Linked DNA regions of Tamandua tetradactyla. The protein of the gene in region 1 purifies or fractionates together with the protein of each later gene. This does not show direct contact. Links are inferred from orthologs where the notes say so. Each region holds a gene or a part of one and is shown on either strand. Other genes may lie near its edges.

Evidence for each region.
Region 2: the proteins of SPDYC (region 1) and CDK1 purify together in Homo sapiens (co-immunoprecipitation; 3 studies listed by BioGRID and IntAct, with this or other methods). This does not show direct contact. The link is inferred for Tamandua tetradactyla from reciprocal best matches to the Homo sapiens genes SPDYC and CDK1.

The regions. Positions count from the first base shown.
Region 1 is NC_135335.1:9,397,080-9,400,989, reverse strand, and holds SPDYC (speedy protein C), read left to right. Parts: upstream 1-1,050; 5' UTR 1,051-1,123; intron 1,124-1,619; exon of another isoform or gene 1,620-1,802; 5' UTR 1,803-1,848; coding exon 1,849-1,990; intron 1,991-2,256; coding exon 2,257-2,315; intron 2,316-2,595; coding exon 2,596-2,681; intron 2,682-2,793; coding exon 2,794-2,965; intron 2,966-3,042; coding exon 3,043-3,361; intron 3,362-3,530; coding exon 3,531-3,580; 3' UTR 3,581-3,760; downstream 3,761-3,910. UniProt on the Homo sapiens protein: Promotes progression through the cell cycle via binding and activation of CDK1 and CDK2. Involved in the spindle-assembly checkpoint. Required for recruitment of MAD2L1, BUBR1 and BUB1 to kinetochores.
Region 2 is NC_135339.1:36,504,849-36,508,758, reverse strand, and holds the start of CDK1 (cyclin-dependent kinase 1), read left to right. Parts: upstream 1-1,288; 5' UTR 1,289-1,830; intron 1,831-3,889; 5' UTR 3,890-3,910. UniProt on the Homo sapiens protein: Plays a key role in the control of the eukaryotic cell cycle by modulating the centrosome cycle as well as mitotic onset; promotes G2-M transition via association with multiple interphase cyclins.

The DNA.
Region 1 (3,910 bases):
GAATTACTATATGACCTGGCAATCCCACTTTTAGGTATATACCGGGACTTGAGCAGGACATTTGCACACCGATGTTTATCACAGCATTATTCACAATAGCCAAGAGGTGGAAGCAACCCAAATGCTCATGAACAGATGAACAGATAAACAAAATGTGGTACACACACACACACACACACACACACACACACACACACAATGTAAAAAGGAATGAAGTTCTGATGCATGCTACATCATGGATGAAGACACTACATTGAGTGAAATAAGCCAGGCAAATATTATATGGAATAACTAGAATATGCAAATTCAGAAACAGAAAGTAGATGATGGGGTACCGAGGTGGGGTGGGAATGGGGAGTGAATGCTTAATGGGTGCAGAGTTTCTGTTTGGGACGATGGAAAAGTTTGGGTAATGGATGTTAGTAAATGACATTTACTGTACACTTGAAAGTGGTTAAAATGGAGAATTTTGAGCTGTATGTATGTTACCACAACAAAAAGTTACAAGAAAGAAAAGTCACCCATCACGTGTGAAAAGTAACCCAGGAGCTGACTATCCCATGGAATTGGGGAAGGAAAACGAGCCAGTGGAGCCAAAAAGGCTTCGGATCCCTAAGGGGTAAGCCTGGGGGCGGGGGCGGGGGTTTCCTGGGGACACCAGCCAGCCTCCCCTTATCCCCAGAAGACCTTGGGAAGGGGATGGGTCCTCTGGAAGTTCCATGCCAAGATAGTATTCTCTCTGGCTCCCAGGTTTTGAGGTTTCTCAATCTGAAACAATCACCCACAACACCCAGCGTGGCTGCCTCCCACAGTCAGTGAATTAAAACTTTCCCTTCATACCTTTGGCTCACCTTCCGTGAGGAGTGGGGTGGGGTCCTGCCCGAGCACCCCATCTGCCCTGCGGGGGTAACGTTTCTTCTGGAGAAGCTTTTACCTTGGGGAGCCGCAGCTGGGAGGCACAGGAAATCTGGTTCCTGGTGGGCGGTGATGACCAAGCCCCGCCCCCTCTGCCACAAGGGAACTGATTGGTGGAGAGCCTGGGTGGGGCGGGGCAGCCCCAGGGCTATATAAGCGGCCGGGGCGGCCCGCAGGGCGTTATGCTGTAGGTTGTTGCTGAGGCCAGGTAAGGCTTCTCGAGGAGGGAGGCTGCGCCCCTGGAGACGCCTGGATGGAAGTCCTGGGCCGATCCCGGGCTAGGGGAGGGCGCCTTCCCTCCAACCCTCGAGTTGTAGGGAAGGCTTAGGAAAGTAGCTGGAGATACTTGAGCAAGCTCTCGACACCCCTCTCAGCCTCACTTACCCCGTGTGTGTTCAACCCTTTGGTGTGGGATGGGGTGGGGTGGGAGTTGGGGGCAAGAGAAACAGTGACGCTCTGGGGCTTTTGGAATCAGCCAAACTCCACCTTTAACTGGCTGCAAGTCCCCTGTGCCTTGGTTTCCTTGTTTGTGGAATGCGTGTCACGGACCCAGCTTTCGGGAGGAAATAAGATGTCTTAAATAAGTATTTAGCACAGCTCCAGGCACTTAGTGGCTGTTATTACACCTCTCTGGCCTGGCCTGGGGTGCCGGGAGGAGGGCTAGGGGTGCTGCGGCCTCCGGGAATTCCTCGTTTCTTTCCTAGGTTCCCCCACCCCCACCCCCCACAATGCATCGCAGCGTCCATCTTTGCTGAACTCCCTTCTCCACTCGCATCCCTCCACCTTGGGGTGCTCTTTTCGGCAGGCCTCACCATCCCCCCTGGACTGGTGGGAGGTGGGGGAGGGGGTACTTGCTGAGTCGGGGTGGGGGGCTGCCCTCTCCACAGGTCACCCTGCCCCGCCCCACCCCGCCTCACCCCACCCCCTCATGAGATGAGTGGCGCCCCGGACCGTGCCACTGTCCCTGTGGTCGCCGCCCAGGTGAAGCTGGGGGGCTGGAGCCGTCGAGGTGGGGGCCGCGGGTTCCTCCCTTCCCTCCAGCACCAGGAGCTCCAGGCCTTCCTCAACCTTCTGGGTGAGTTCATTTGGGGGACGGGGGTGGGGGGGGGTAGAGAATGACACGGGAGGGGCTGCAGGGATCAAGTGTGAAAAAAGATACAAGCATCTGAGCTCTCGGGTGCCCTTCCCGCTCAGGTGACCCAGGTTTGGCAGGTGGCAGAGGGGTCGCGTCGGAAAGTGGGTTCCGTGGGGGCTCGGGCTTTGGCACTCTGATGCCACTTCGCGTCTCGTGGTGGGTGGGGGATAATGCAGAGCCCCCATTTCTCCTCTCCCTCCACCCAGAGGACAGTTTTCTCCAGGAATTCCTCTCCAAAGACCCCTGTTTCCAGATTTCAGATAAGGTGGGGGGGGCAGAGGTTGTGGGTCACTTGAGGGGACGGTTGATTTAGTGGGGCTGGAGCTCTGCTACTTTCCTGGGGGTCCCTGGAATGGTGGGGGTGGGTGGGGGAGGACTCACTTTTTACCTCTAAATCGTCCTTGGAGCCCCCTCCCCACCATCTTACCCCATCCCTTCTCTCTACCACCAAAATTACCTGGCCAGGACACACCCCTGCTCCCCAACCCCCCCTCCACAGCTGACCTATGACCTCCACCCCCTCCCACACCTCTGTCTCTCTGCAGTATCTCCTGGCAATGGTGCTGGTTTACTTCCGGCGCGCCAACATGCAACTCAGCGAATACACCCACAGCAACCTGTTCTTGGCACTGTGAGCGGGGGTGGCAGGGGGCGGGGGTGAGGGGGCCTCAGCGGGCCTTTGGAGGGTGCTCGGCCGGTGCTGCGCCCTCCGCTCCCTGACCCCCCCAGTCCCGCATGGCCAGGTACCTTGCGAATGACATGGAGGAGGACCTGGAGGACCCCAAATGTGAGATTTTCCCCTGGGCTCTGGGCGAAGGCTGGCGTCCTCGGGTCTCGGACTTCCTGCACCAGAGGGACCAGCTGTGGGCGCGGATGGACTTCCGGGCTGTCGTGAGCCGCCAGTCCTGCGAGGAGGTGACGGCCGGGGCCTGGCATCCCCCGTGGGAGCAGCAGCTCCCCCCCCCACTGACCACCCGCTTTCCTCCTCCCAGGTCATGGCCAAGGAGCCGTCCCACTGGGTCTGGATGCGGGAGCGGCGCCCCCACCACGGCGGGGCGCAGAGGGGCTGCCCTGAGGCCCTCCTCTCCCTGCCCCGGGGCCCCGGCCTCTCGCCACCCCATTGCTCCCTCTGTGGCTTGCCCCCGAGCCACCCCTTGCCTGGGTCATCCAAGTGTCCTTCTCCAACCCCTGAGTGTCACAGCCCTCCCTCCCGAGCTTGGCTCTCAGTGGTTGAAGACCCCTGGGGTGGGAGCTTTCTCCTCGTCCTGCCCCCGCAGCTGCAGCTGGAGCCAGGCCTCTACACCCTCCACAGTGAGTGGGGCAGGGGGAGCTGGGGGATGGGCTTGGAAGCCTGGGAGGGGGGAATGGGGGAGGTCAGAGTGACAGAGCGGGGCCCATGGGGTGTATACAGGCTCCCATCCCAGCCAGTGACAGCTTGGCAAGTTTCCTCTTTGAGCCTCACTGTGTCCTTCTCCCCTAGTCCTCCGGGGGCCTCTGCCGTGCCCAGGAACCCAGCACCCTGCGGGGTGAAGAGCCGCTGGCCTGTGAGCTCACTGAACCAGTGCCCCTACTGGCTGTGGACCCTCCTGGCCTCCTCTCTAGTTGACTTCAGGCTGGCAGTGCTGCCCACGCCCCCTGCCCCTTCCTCCCACCTGCAACTTGTACCCACGCTGGCCTTGGCCCCCCCTCCAATAAACTCGTGTCACGGGACACCAGCTGTGCTTAGGCCCTGGCCTGGCTCCTTATTCCTGGATGAACTATAGGGCAGGGGACTGATGGGAAAGGGGGCCCAGCGGGGTTAAGCCTGAGTGGCTGGGACCACGGGCAGCTCGGCCCTGCCCCATCCATGTGACCTGAGAC
Region 2 (3,910 bases), on another chromosome or scaffold:
CACTTATTCTAGATATTTCATCTAGGTGAGATTGTACAATATCTCCCCTCTTGTGTCTAGCTTATTTCACTTGGCATCATGTTTTCAAGGTTCATCCATGGCAGAATATGTCAGGCAAAGCCTCTGTGCTTTGTTCATGCCGTTTCCTCTGCTTGGAATGCCCGTCCCACAATTCTTTCTAAAGTATTTATTCAAATGTCACTTCCCCTGTCAGCATTAGTTTTCTCCTCTGTGTTCCCCTGTCATTTTATAGCATAAGTTACAATTTAAGTACCAGAAGAGAGTTCTAAATCATCTTTGTGCTTCCCCCCTCTTATACTGAGAGCAGGAATGGTATCTTACTCATTTTTGCATTTATAAAATACAGTGTTGCACTTTACAGACACTGAATATAGGTTGGCTGAAAATATAATAAACTATATGTGTTAAGAGGATAGCTTGAATTTACAATAACCCTCCTGAAATTCTGAAAAGAAAGAGAATCGCATTAAATTAAAAAAGAGTAGCATCACAGCTATGGAAGCTTATGGTCTTCTTTATGCTGAATGTAAAGTGAATATAATGCATTAATTGCATTTTTTAAGATGATACAAATTGAATTCCATGCCTAAGCCTTCCAGAGAGAAAGACGTATATTCATTTATTAAAATCAGTAACCCAAAATAACAGAGAACAGCCTGCCTCCCTAGAGCACCACTCTGGGGAAATGAAGGCAGTTTTCATGTAAAGAGTGAATTTTTCATTTAAAAGTAAGCTTTAAAAACTGTTAGGCTTAATTAGGGTATTTACAAGCCCCTACCCAACAACCCCACATGTTCTGCCTCTGTGGCCTGGGAGGCTAAAATAGTCAAGACTGAGCCTAAGTGCCACATATAGGGCCAAACAACAGATGTTGCTTCTCCTATTCGTTGTGCAAAAATGCATGAATGCATGTGATATACTAGTTCCATTCCTTATCCTACCCTGGGTATTCTAATTCATAGTTGAAGAGGTCGAGATAGTCATTCTTTGTTCTATGTCCAGTTAGAGTCAAGGCAAAGAGGAATTCTTCCTAGAGGACTCTTACTACCCCGGGTTCTACATACTGTTTTATTTCCTTAAAGATTGAATGTTCAAATGCAAAGATCTTTCTTAAGGATATGGTGGTGATGCTGTGTTATTTAAAGAATAACTTGATTCCTTTTTCTTCCTTCAAAGAATTATGAATTTTGTGTTCATATGTAAAATTTTGATGTAAAAATAATTTAATATTGTAAAAATTTCCTTTAGATTTTAGGTCTTTCCATTTTCCATCATCTTCAGGTAAGTGAAAACGTGCTCTTATGGAGAAATAGGCTCATCCAGCAAACCACTCAATTTAGAAAAACATAAATATACATTAGCCTTAAGCACGAGAACTGAACGGAATGGAATCTTGATGTAATGTGATAAGCTATTTGAGCGCAATAATTTTTAACTGTACCAATTCCGGAAGGAAAAAAACCCGAACGAATAGTAGATTCTCAAGACGAGAAACAGTAGAACGACGCTTCCCTGGGATGAAAGACGCCCCTGTGTTCAGACTCAGTTGGCGCCCGCCCACCTGCTTTTTCTCCAGCCGCCGTTTCCTCTTCCTTTCGCGCTCTAGCCGCCCGGGAAACCCAGCCCAAGCGTAATGTGCTCTGATTGGCTGCTTTGAAAGTCTACGGGCTACCTGATTGGTGGATCGGAGACCCTTTAGCGCGGTGACTTTGAAACTGCTCTCACTTTGCTTCAAACCTGGCTCTTGGAAGTTGGGAAGGAGTGACGCCGACGTGGTAGCTGCTGCCACCACCGCGTCGGATAAGCCCGGTAGAGTTGCAGGGGCCCGGGTCGTACCTATGGGGCATGTACTCGGCAGGCGCCGGCTCGGGGGCCTTGGGGAGGGGAGTATTGAAAGCCCTGCTGGGGAGCAGGGGGTGTGTGCGGCAAGGCCGGGCCTCAGGGTGGGCTGGGCCCGGGGCTCGGAATCCCGGGCCTGGGCTTTAGGGGGAGTTTTGTGGGAGCACAGCCGGATGGGCTTACTCTGGGGAGGGCTGAGGCTGCCCTGGCCTCGGAGTTCCCTTCTGGAGGTCTGAATCGTCTGTTTCGAGGAAGAGGTCGCCCACCCAGCGGAGGAGGCATTCTGGTGTCGGTGCAAGCTGGATTGAAGCAAAATCCGTGCACAGGTTCGAGGACGCAGGGTGCTGGTGAGCGCCAGGCTCGCTCATGGGCCCTGCTGCTTCGGTTCGCCGCCTGCGCTTCATCCTTCGGCTGCTCCGGGGGTGGAAAGCGAGACCGCACCTGGGCCGGGCCCCACGCCAGTCTTTAATCCCAGTCAGTCTGAGAAACCGATCCGACGAACTTCTGGGCTCTCTCGGGCTTCCTTCAGCACCCATGTCCCTTACCTGACCGGAAATTTTAAGAACCCGTAGCCAAGGCACAGAGCCAGTGGAAACTTGGGTTTCTTTTTTTTTTTTTTTTTTTTACTTGTACTTTACACTCGTAGCTAGTATATCACTGGCAAAAAGTGGAAAACTAAGAAATGCCGAGAGAGAAACATGTGTTCTTAATACCTTTGTCAAGGCCTTTAATCAGTGTTGATCCATTACTAAAGTTACTAGTGTGCATTCTGGACCTGGAGGTCTCTGGGAAGGGAAACTAAGCCAAAGATATTTTATATCCTACAGCTGTTAGAACAGAGCCGCGGGACGCATCCAAAAGGCATTCTGAAGCAGCATGTTTTATTGATAATTGTTAAAGTTGGAAAATAGAAGGGTAATTGAGTCCGGCTTTGAAGTGGAGTTAGTTTTTAGCTATTAAAGTGAGCGCAACAATTTTATTGTGTTTTAGCCCATATTAATTCTGGTCACTTAGGAAAAGATAATTGTGCTAAATTGTCCATTGCTGTTTAATAAAATTAAATTGTAAATTCTTGATGGACATTCTTTTGTTTTGGAGTCAGTTGCTCAGAGTAACCCTTATGATTTTATCATCAGTGATGAGTGTGTTAGAAAATCAATGTAATTATGCTTCAGATTTCTGAGGTTTTGCTTCATTGGAAAACTTAACCAACTGAGAAGATCTTGAGTGTCTGGCTGTCTGTCTGCAATTCTGCTCCTTCTTACCATTCTTAGTGATTAGTATTTGTTTTTTTATTTGGTTCTTGGTGTTGGTAGGGTATAATCAGAACTTTATTTGTGGAATTGCACTTTTAATCTTTTCCTTCTAGGGCATTCAGTGATATCTTCTTTTGCAAAAGGTACCTTGCAAGTCTTGTAATAGAGAAGCACATTTGTCTATGTGACTGCTATAAACAAAGAAGAAAAATTAAAACTCAACTTGCGCCAACTGTAAACACTTAAAATGCTTTTGTTGCTTTAAGCAAAACCTTTCTAATGGGGAGCAGTCTGACCAGATTTTAGACCCCTACTCAAGTCTCCTGAACATTTTCTCTTGAATTATCTTCACTAAAAATATCGTAAAGCAATACAAATCAAATCAAAATAGCATTATTTGCTGATGTATTTGGGTATAACCTTGGTACACAGTAGTGCTCCTTAAAAGTGTTACTTACTTCCATGTTTGGTTTGGAAAGGATGGATTGATTTATTGTGAATTTGAGGGCTAATCCAGATGGAAGAAGCTAAATGTTACACTGGTGTAGAATATACACATATTTCCAATATTTTAGAAGCTAAAGAGGGTGGGAAAGTCTTATTGCAAGAGTTCTTATTCTTGTAAATATTGTCTTAATATAACTCATATTTATGAAATACTTTATATTGCAGTAGACATTGCTAAATACTTAATATGTAGTATCTCATTCATACTTAAAACCACTCTTTGAATTAGTAGCATGTAATCAAGTCATTTTTTCCCCTCATTTTAGGATTTACGGCACCTGTTGGGT